2 linked regions of the Sus scrofa genome follow. Each later gene encodes a partner of the first gene's protein in a complex. Links are inferred from orthologs where the notes say so. Each region holds a gene or a part of one and is shown on either strand. Other genes may lie near its edges. The genes, in order: GABBR2 and KCTD16.

The links.
Region 2: the proteins of GABBR2 (region 1) and KCTD16 are in contact, whole or in part, in a crystal structure (PDB 6M8R), measured with the Homo sapiens proteins. The link is inferred for Sus scrofa from reciprocal best matches to the Homo sapiens genes GABBR2 and KCTD16. Residues at the interface, in NP_005449.5 of Homo sapiens: Ile882, Asn883, Ile888, Gln889, Arg891, Leu892, Ser893, Leu894, Gln895, Leu896, Pro897, Ile898, Leu899; in NP_001357415.1 of Homo sapiens: Asn30, Gly32, Gly33, Gln34, Val35, Tyr36, Asp64, Leu65, Ala66, Lys67, Asp68, Ser69, Arg72, Phe74, Gly79, Phe80, Arg83.

What each region holds. Positions count from the first base shown.
Region 1 is NC_010443.5:240,107,887-240,111,697, forward strand, and holds part of GABBR2 (gamma-aminobutyric acid type B receptor subunit 2), read right to left. Parts: intron 2,208-3,811; coding exon 2,042-2,207; 3' UTR 1-2,041. UniProt on the Homo sapiens protein: Component of a heterodimeric G-protein coupled receptor for GABA, formed by GABBR1 and GABBR2. Within the heterodimeric GABA receptor, only GABBR1 seems to bind agonists, while GABBR2 mediates coupling to G proteins.
Region 2 is NC_010444.4:145,703,267-145,707,553, forward strand, and holds the start of KCTD16 (BTB/POZ domain-containing protein KCTD16), read left to right. Parts: upstream 1-1,435; 5' UTR 1,436-2,151; intron 2,152-2,248; exon of another isoform or gene 2,249-3,406; 5' UTR 3,407-3,491; intron 3,492-3,861; 5' UTR 3,862-4,193; coding exon 4,194-4,287. UniProt on the Homo sapiens protein: Auxiliary subunit of GABA-B receptors that determine the pharmacology and kinetics of the receptor response. Increases agonist potency and markedly alter the G-protein signaling of the receptors by accelerating onset and promoting desensitization.

The sequences.
Region 1 (3,811 bases):
TTTTTTTTTTTTCCTGCTATGATGGATTAATATTTCTATAGGTATTATTGTGTGTGTGTGTGTGTGTGTGTGTATACATTATGTACAATGAATTGTCTCTTTCCCTTTGAAAAAGTAATGCGGTCCTTTAAATTAAATCTGGTTTTGGTGAAATCAAGAAAGCAAGGAAATACTGGTAATACACAGTGAGTGACAACACCGATTTTTAGTGCCTAAACAGACAGTGACTTCAACTTGACCTGTGATATGTTAACATTGTTTCCCCCTAAAAGCTACAGTACCTCCGTAACCTCTCTTTGGGGAGGGGAGAGCTATGCTACGTGAAATAGGGTGTTCTGAAATGTTGGCGATGGTAAGATTCCCGCGGGCCCTTTTGTCAAACCCTGGTGGTGACACTGTATTCCTGACTTCAGTGGTCTGGGAAGAGATTATTGCCTGCCTGTTGAAGCTGCCATTAGGTTACTTTAGGGAGCAAGCGACTGCTCAGTTGTGCAGACGTCCTGGACACTGTCATTCAGGCCTTTCTTTAGCAAAGAATGAACTTGTCTAGGAATGTCTCAAAAGTCATCTGGAGCCTTCAGCCGGATGGATTCTGGTAGAGGGCTGTGCTGGGAGCTTCTCTGGGCTATAGCCCCGGCTGTCCTGAGGGCTGAAGGTCATGCTCATCCTGATACCTCACGGGTCAGGGCTGCTTCACTGTTTGGTATGAAGCTTTCCTAGACAAGATCAAGTTTTGATCCTCAGAGCGACCCTGTGAGGTAGGCAGGACAGGTGTTATTTCAACCCCAATTTGTTAGGGGAAACTGAGGCTCAGAGAGACATAAGCGACTTCCCCAAGGTCTTGGAGGGAGTCACAGTGGAGCAAGGGCTTGAACCCAGGTCTGTCTGACTCCCAGGCCAGTGCTCCTTGGGGTTCATTTAAAAGGAAAGAGTGATCTTGTGAGAATCAGTGTGCTGATCTATCACCTCTGGGACCCCCAAGGGCAGAGCTCACGGGCTTGTCTGGATGAATGCTGCCTTCTGGGAAGTTAAGAGAAGTCCTCAGCTAATAACTCTCACCCCCAGGACTACAGGGATATCTTCTGGCAAAATGCTCCCGATTCACTTTGGTCAGAAACAAAGTCAGTGGGAATAAACAAAACCAAACCCCAGCCAGCCCTTGGGCCCTGATGAGAGAGGTTAAAGTGCACAATCTTTATCATGTTTGCTGGGAACAGACATTCCATGATTAGCTCCGGTGGCCCCCTTATTATGGGGAACACCTGATACAAACACAAGGACATGGCCAACGTGGTGGGTGCATGGCCGACTGTGGGTGAGTGCTGCAGAGTGGGTCTGCAGCAACGTGCCCTAAATCCCCACGGTCCCAGAACGGGTGTTATTGTGTTAATGGGTGGCATTTATCAGAGAGTAAGGTCCCACTGGGAGGCATGCGAGTCAGCCTGCTCGGTATCCCAGCCCTCGGTTGCCCAGCCCTCAGGCCGCTCGCTGCAGAGCTGTGCCCAGCTGCCCTTCCTGCAGACTCCCTGTTCCAGGAAGTCTGGGGTTGGCTGGACTGGCAGCTGGGAGCCTGGCTGCCCTGCCTGTCTCCTTCCCCAGAGTGGAGAAGGGCTGGCCTGGGAGCCACAGCCAGTGGCATGTGTGCAGAGGCAGAGGCGGTTCTCCAGAAGCCCCTTGCCTCTTCTCAGGGCTGCTCAGGACCACTCAGTGACTTCTAGCTGGAGTTCTAGTAAGTTTCTCCTTGTCTAGGATTTTTTTTTTTGCCAAGTTTCATGTATCCCAGCTCCTCCTCCTTTGCAGACATTAAGGAAGAGGTCATTTCCATTCCTCTTCTTTGTGAAAGAATAAAAACTTCACAAATAAGGCGCAAGGTCAGGTGCCAAGTGCCCCCCATCTGCACCGAGTGCCATCCGAGTAGTCCCGCAAGGCCAGCCGTGGCGCCAGTTTCTCTGCAGCCAGAGCTGACAGTGTTCCTGTAGCAGACGCCTCTGCTCCGTGTGGTTCCGTCACGGGGGAGGCCCCAGCCCCAGGCCTCCCCCACTTACAGGCCCGAGACCATAACTCGGAAGGAGGGTGGCACGTGTCTGTGGCGGGGGCTGGCGGTGGGGCTGACGCAGGGGCTGACACAGCTGGCGTCCACGCCTCCAATGGATGGGAGGTAGGCGTGGTGGAGGATGGGGAGCTGGAGGGACAGCCGGCGCTGGATGCTGTGTCAGGGAGAGAAAGAGGGGCAGTTAGTGAAGGCTTGTGGCTGCACACCGGGACGTTCCTTGGACTCACCTTGGCTAAGAAGCTGATGTTAGGAGTACAGTTCTCTCTGAATCCAAGATCTGTCCATCTTGTCATCTAACCACTCACCCATGTAGCAAGTGTTTAATCTAGGCCTACGTGTGCTAACTACTGACCTGGGAAGAAGCAGGGTGACAGTAAACAAGGAGGAGGCAGGCTTCTTGAGCGTCTGGTGACTCCTACGAATAAGGCTTGGCCCTGCTATGCTACAAACACAGATAGTTCCCATTCTCTGCTCTTGTGAGTCCCCAAGTGGACTTGGCTTTGGGTTCTGTCCCTAAAAGGCTTCTCAACTGCTCTGTCCTTCCTCATCGGCTTCTCTGCCACTGTCTCTTGCCCAGGACCTCAGCCCTTCTTGCCCGGCCAATTCCAGTAGGTTCCTTCCTGATCTTTCAGCTTCTCTGGTTACCAACCAGTGTTATCTCTCTAGCATTGGGATGGGGCATTCAGGGCTCCCCAAGATCTGTCTTATGTCAAATGCTCCAGGTGAATCTTGTACCTCCATTTCCCTGCAAACCTGCCCTCTGGCGCCTAGTTTCCTCTACAGCCCTGCTTTTGGGCACTCTTCAGTGCCTCTGCACATGCTGTTCCTCTGCCGGGAAAAGCTCTTCCTCTGCTTTCCCATCTGATGACTGCTTTCCCTTTAAGATTCAGTTTAGATGTCATTTTCTTTGCGTGAAACCCCTCAGAGAGTGAGCCCCTTCCTCCTCTATGCCCCCAGAAACCTTGCTAAATTCCCTGAAATGCAGCCAGGAAAAAGCAGAGGCCGGGCTGAGCCAGGGCTGGGTGTGCAGGACTGACGGAGAAGCATCGTGAAAAGAAGCTGCCTTCCAACTCCCTGCTCACTGCCACACCCTTCCACGTCTTACCATCAGTTTTCACAATTGGCAGGTCAGTAAGTCACCTCCACTGTTGTGAAGCCTGCTTTGGTGGATGTGCCCAGGCCATGTGCCCTGCTCTGGGCATTTCCTGAACTCTTAGGTCTCCTTGTGTCCCCTGTGCCTGGCCACTCAGATGGAAAAAACCCTCAGACCTTCACAAAAGCCAGCAGGCCAAAGAAGCATTGCTGTTCCCATTATAAAGACAAGGTAAGGGTACAGAGTTTGCATAACTTGCTCATAGAAACAGAATCAGAGCTGGAGAAGGTAGGACCCTTGCTTCTTCTATTGAACCACGGTACTTTGCGGGGAGGCACATCAACTCAGGGAGGCTGCTTCATCCCACCAGGGTTGCCCTGGGGTGTATGTGGGGTAGTGGGGGTTCTGAGATGGATGAGGACAGATGCAGTGCTGCCTCCACTCCTAAGGATCTTCTGGGCAGAAGGGCTTCTCCTGAGACCTTTTCCAGGTGCTAATGGGAGAGTAGTGTTGGAGACCCCATGTCGAAGTTAAAGTTGAACTTGTGTAACGTCACAGGTGTGGACAGAGTCCAGGAAAATGGGGAGCTGAAGAATGAACTTGAGCTGAGGCAGGGTGTCCTTTCTGAGCATCCCTGGCAGGATGGGCATCTGTCTGTGGCTGTC
Region 2 (4,287 bases), on another chromosome or scaffold:
ATATTTACAGTGTTTATTGAAAAATGGGAATTCAGAGTGCATGTCAGGTGTAGCCCACCCACAGTTCACAAGGTGAAGGTCATCTGGTGAATGCTTTCTTTATATTTTTTCGGTCCTCCTCAGGGTGTTTCTCTTTGAGTGTGTGTGTGTGACCTCATTTCAAAAAGAGTCAACATTTGCGGAGTGCTGGGAAGGGGAGTCCCTGGCCACGTGATCTCCCTGGCTCCTCTCATTCCTCAGTTCTTCCTCAGAGGTTCTGCCCTGGACATGGAACGCAAACTTTTATGCTTGTGTATTCATCTCCTAGATTTTCTAAGATTCTCCAAGCAGCCCTTTCCCCCAAAACCTTAAGTACGACTGGTCTCAAAAATATCCTAACCTATGAAACCCAGATCAATGAACAGAGCTCCTCATTTTTGAAATTTAGAACACTCTTCTTTTAAATTGTAAGGATATTTTAGCCTTGCAATTTCACTTATTACTAACAATTCTTTTCAATGACTTGCTGTTTTTTTTTTGAAATGCATAACAGGAGTTCCTGTCGTGCCTCAGTGGTTGACGAATCTGACTAGGAACCATGCGGTTGCAGGTTCAATCCCTGGCCTTGCTCAGTGGGTTAAGGATCCAGCGTTGCTGTGAGCCGTGGTGTAGGTCGCAGACGCAGCTCGGATCCCACGTTGCTGTGGCTGTGGTGTAGGCCAGTAGCTACAGCTCCGATTAGACCCCTAGCCTGGGAATCTCCATATGCCACAGGAGCGGCCCAAGAAATGGCATAAAGACAAAAAAAAAAAAAGAAAGAAATGCGAAATAAACATGTTTCCTTATTTGCCGCCTTTCCATCTTTATTCTAGAATCCATAATGTTAAAAACAAAACATTGATGGTACTGAATAGGCAATGATCTGAACCCTACCCTCATGCTCCACAGCTGTGTGGCCCTGTGGAAAAGCTTTCCCTCTCTGGTACTCAGCCTCTGTAGCTCTAAGAGGAGATGGTGATTCCATTTCTCAAGTTCCTTTTAGCTTTATAGGACCATGGTTTTTTTTCTTCCTCTCATGCTTTACTTCCTGCCAAATTGCCCCTCAAATATTTTAATAGCCCATCTCCAAAGTCATTGTCATGGCATACTGCCCTACTCCGTTAGATACTAAACAATTGGCTTTTAACTGTGAACAAATTCGGTACTTAATAAGCATAAATTCAAACTTATTTATACCCTGTATCTGATGGCAAATAACTGTTTACTTTGTAATTTTGATGAACAGAACCTTTCAGGTAAAACTCAAATCACTATAAAAAAAACTTTAAAATAAAGGAAAACTCTAACTTTGGGCTCAAGTAGGTTGCCAGATACACATCTGCAGTGATAGCATAGGGACACTAGATGGCGATATGAGTGCACCAAATAATAAACATTTCCTTGACTGGTCCAGTGTTAAAATCCCAGTGATTAAGGCCAGAACAGGTTAATATATTAGTTAAAGAAACAAAGTCAACTATAATTAGGTGTTAGAGTGTTAGCTAATACTCTGAATGTGTTCAGTAACCTGATACTTAGTGAAAGAAAAGAGTGTTAAATTAGAAATTAATTTACATGACTGCTGAGTCTACGTTCAAGCTAATTCTTGGGGCAAGAGTTGGCAATAAACATGTGTGTCCCATAAAATGGATCTAATTCATACTTTCCTGTCCACTTTTGGTTTTGGGGTTTTTTTAATAGCAGTTGTTTGGAATGGAGTGTGCCTTACATATATTATTCATCGACAAAGTACTATATTCTCATTAGGAATGTGAGTCCTAAGACATTGGTGTTTTAAAGGGGAAATGGCTGACTTACTGTAAGCTGTTGGCTGGGCCATTATTGACTGGCAGGATCAACTGGAAGCACTTTGTTAGTGGATTAGGTTGCCCTGGAAATGCCTTTCTGAAAGTCTAATGATGCACTTAAGGGAACCCTCTGGGACAGGAGTAAAATGTCTCTTAGCAGGCGTGTCTTCCACCAGAGTCCTCTTGGGATGAAATGGGAGGGGGCCGGCCACATCCAGAGAGATGCTCAGTAAGGAAACAACCCCAGGAAAAGGTTGCAGGTAACAATTTCTTACATGGAAGCGAAGATAACGCCTTACTGACAGGAACTCTGAGTTTTCTGAAGGTACCAGCGCTTCGTGTATTCTTTTGAAAGAGCACCATTAATTCCAGAGATTGCATGTGTGCATGGATGTATATATTCATTTACTAAATGCTTATTTATTTGCTGGGGTAGGGGTGGCGGAGGGATGGAGAAGGAAAAGACAAGAGAGCGCAACTGAGAGAATATGGTTTGATCCTCTCTGATTGGAGAAAAAAAAAAAAGCCCTTCTGTAGGTTGAACATCGGGGTCACTGGGTGTTTTGTTGCTGTTGTTTGTTTGTTTTCTTAAACAAGCTTTAGAGGGGGAAATTTGCCCTTCGGCAGAAATTCAGTGCACGTGCGCAAAGGGCTTGTTGGGGGTTTTTTGTTAATGAAAAATCGCTGTGTTTATCTCACCACTGGGTGAAGGGGTTGTTTCCGGCGGCTGGGGGGGCGGTGGAGGTCTAAAGACAGGAAAAAGGGCAAAGCAAAGGAAACTCCAGACTCGCGGGCAGGACGGGAGGGAAGTGGCTAGGCAGCGCTGGTCCCCGCCCCAAGCCCCAGCGCGCCCCGGGAGTCGCGTGCCCACGGCCAGAGCGCGGCGTTCCCGTGCAGTCCTGGCGACCTGTCACCGGGGAGGACGTGACTCGGAGCTGCCTCCGCTTCCTCCAAGCCATATTCCTTTAAGATGATGTAATAGTCATTTCCCTGGATGGTTTCTTGCCTGCACTGCTGAAACAACAGCATCCTAACTGCACTGGGAACTGTGGAACCACCCAGAGCCGCCGCCGCCGCCGAGAAGCCGGAGCCCGAGCCCCCGACCGCATCTCTGCGCAGCGGCGGCTGCCGGCTCCCACCTGGCTGGGAACATGGGAGTCCGCTTGCCCTTGCCGGCAGGTGGGTGACTACCTGGCACCCCAGCAGGGCACATCTGTCTTTCTTTCTGCTTCTGGGCTTTCTGCAAAGCTTCTAAGTCCCAGTACCTCTTGCAACTCTCTTCTGTTTTAAGGATTCTTTCCAAAGGTTGGATTTTTTTTTTTTTTCTGCCCCTGGAGAGGCTTTGGTTGAATATTTTTCTCTGCTTTGCTTTTTCAATCCAACCACCTCTCATCACGGTTTAACTTTTTTGTGACTTGTTTTAACTTGAGATCGGGAGTGGATATCTACATACATATACACAAATATACATTTATATAAATATTTATATATATATATAATAATTATTATTTTCTAAGAGCACATCTCTCTGGCACTTTTCATTGATACCTCTGTCCTTTCCCTCTTTGGGATTTGACAAGCTCCAGACTGTGTGTGGCTGTGGATTTGGACGGCTTCGCAAATGGGTATTTCTTCACAAGAACTGTGTTTCCAGCATTCGCTAAGGTAAGTTCCCAGGCTTATTGCTCTCCCTCTCTAGCCAGAAGAAGAAGAAGAAAAAAAATCCCCTTTTAGAAGTTGAAAATTGCATATTCCTTTTTAATGCTGAAATAAAAATGGAGATGTTTTTAATACTGAAATGCTGGAGACAGAGGAATATGAATAGATAGGTAGACACAAAATAGCTTGAGAGAAGCTATGGCTTAGTTGAAGAATGGCTGAAATCAGTAGTTCCAGGGCTGCTTATGTAAAATAATCTCTCCCTCCCTCCCTCCCCTGCTTTCCTCCCTCCCTCCCTCTCTTTCTCCTCCTTTTTTTTTTTCTTTTTCTGACTCATGCTGGGTTTGAGGAAATAATTTTCTCTCTTTTCCTTCAGACAGACCTCTCAGTAACTGGGGACCTGGCCTGCCCTGCCTACTGAGCTCGGGAGAAGATCAGGTGGAGATGAGTTGATTATATTCCATGAAGTAATAGCTCCTCACCTGCCAGGGTTTAAACTACTTTTGCAGCATCGCTTCACCTGTGGACTCTTTGAAATTTTGCTTTCTTGGGAAAAAAAAAAAACAAAAAAAAAAACCGGGGTAAGAGGAGGTTGTTTTGAACAAGTTAGCGTCTTTTCCCTCCCTTCCAAGTTGATACAAAGGAGCAGGCTGTGACTCCATTGGATTTTGCACCTTCACATCAAAATAGGAGAAGAAAAGAGGGACCATGGCTCTGAGTGGAAACTGTGGTCGTTATTATGCTCGAGAACAGGGGGCTGCAGTTCCCAACTCCTTCCCCGAGGTCGTGGAGCTGAATGTTG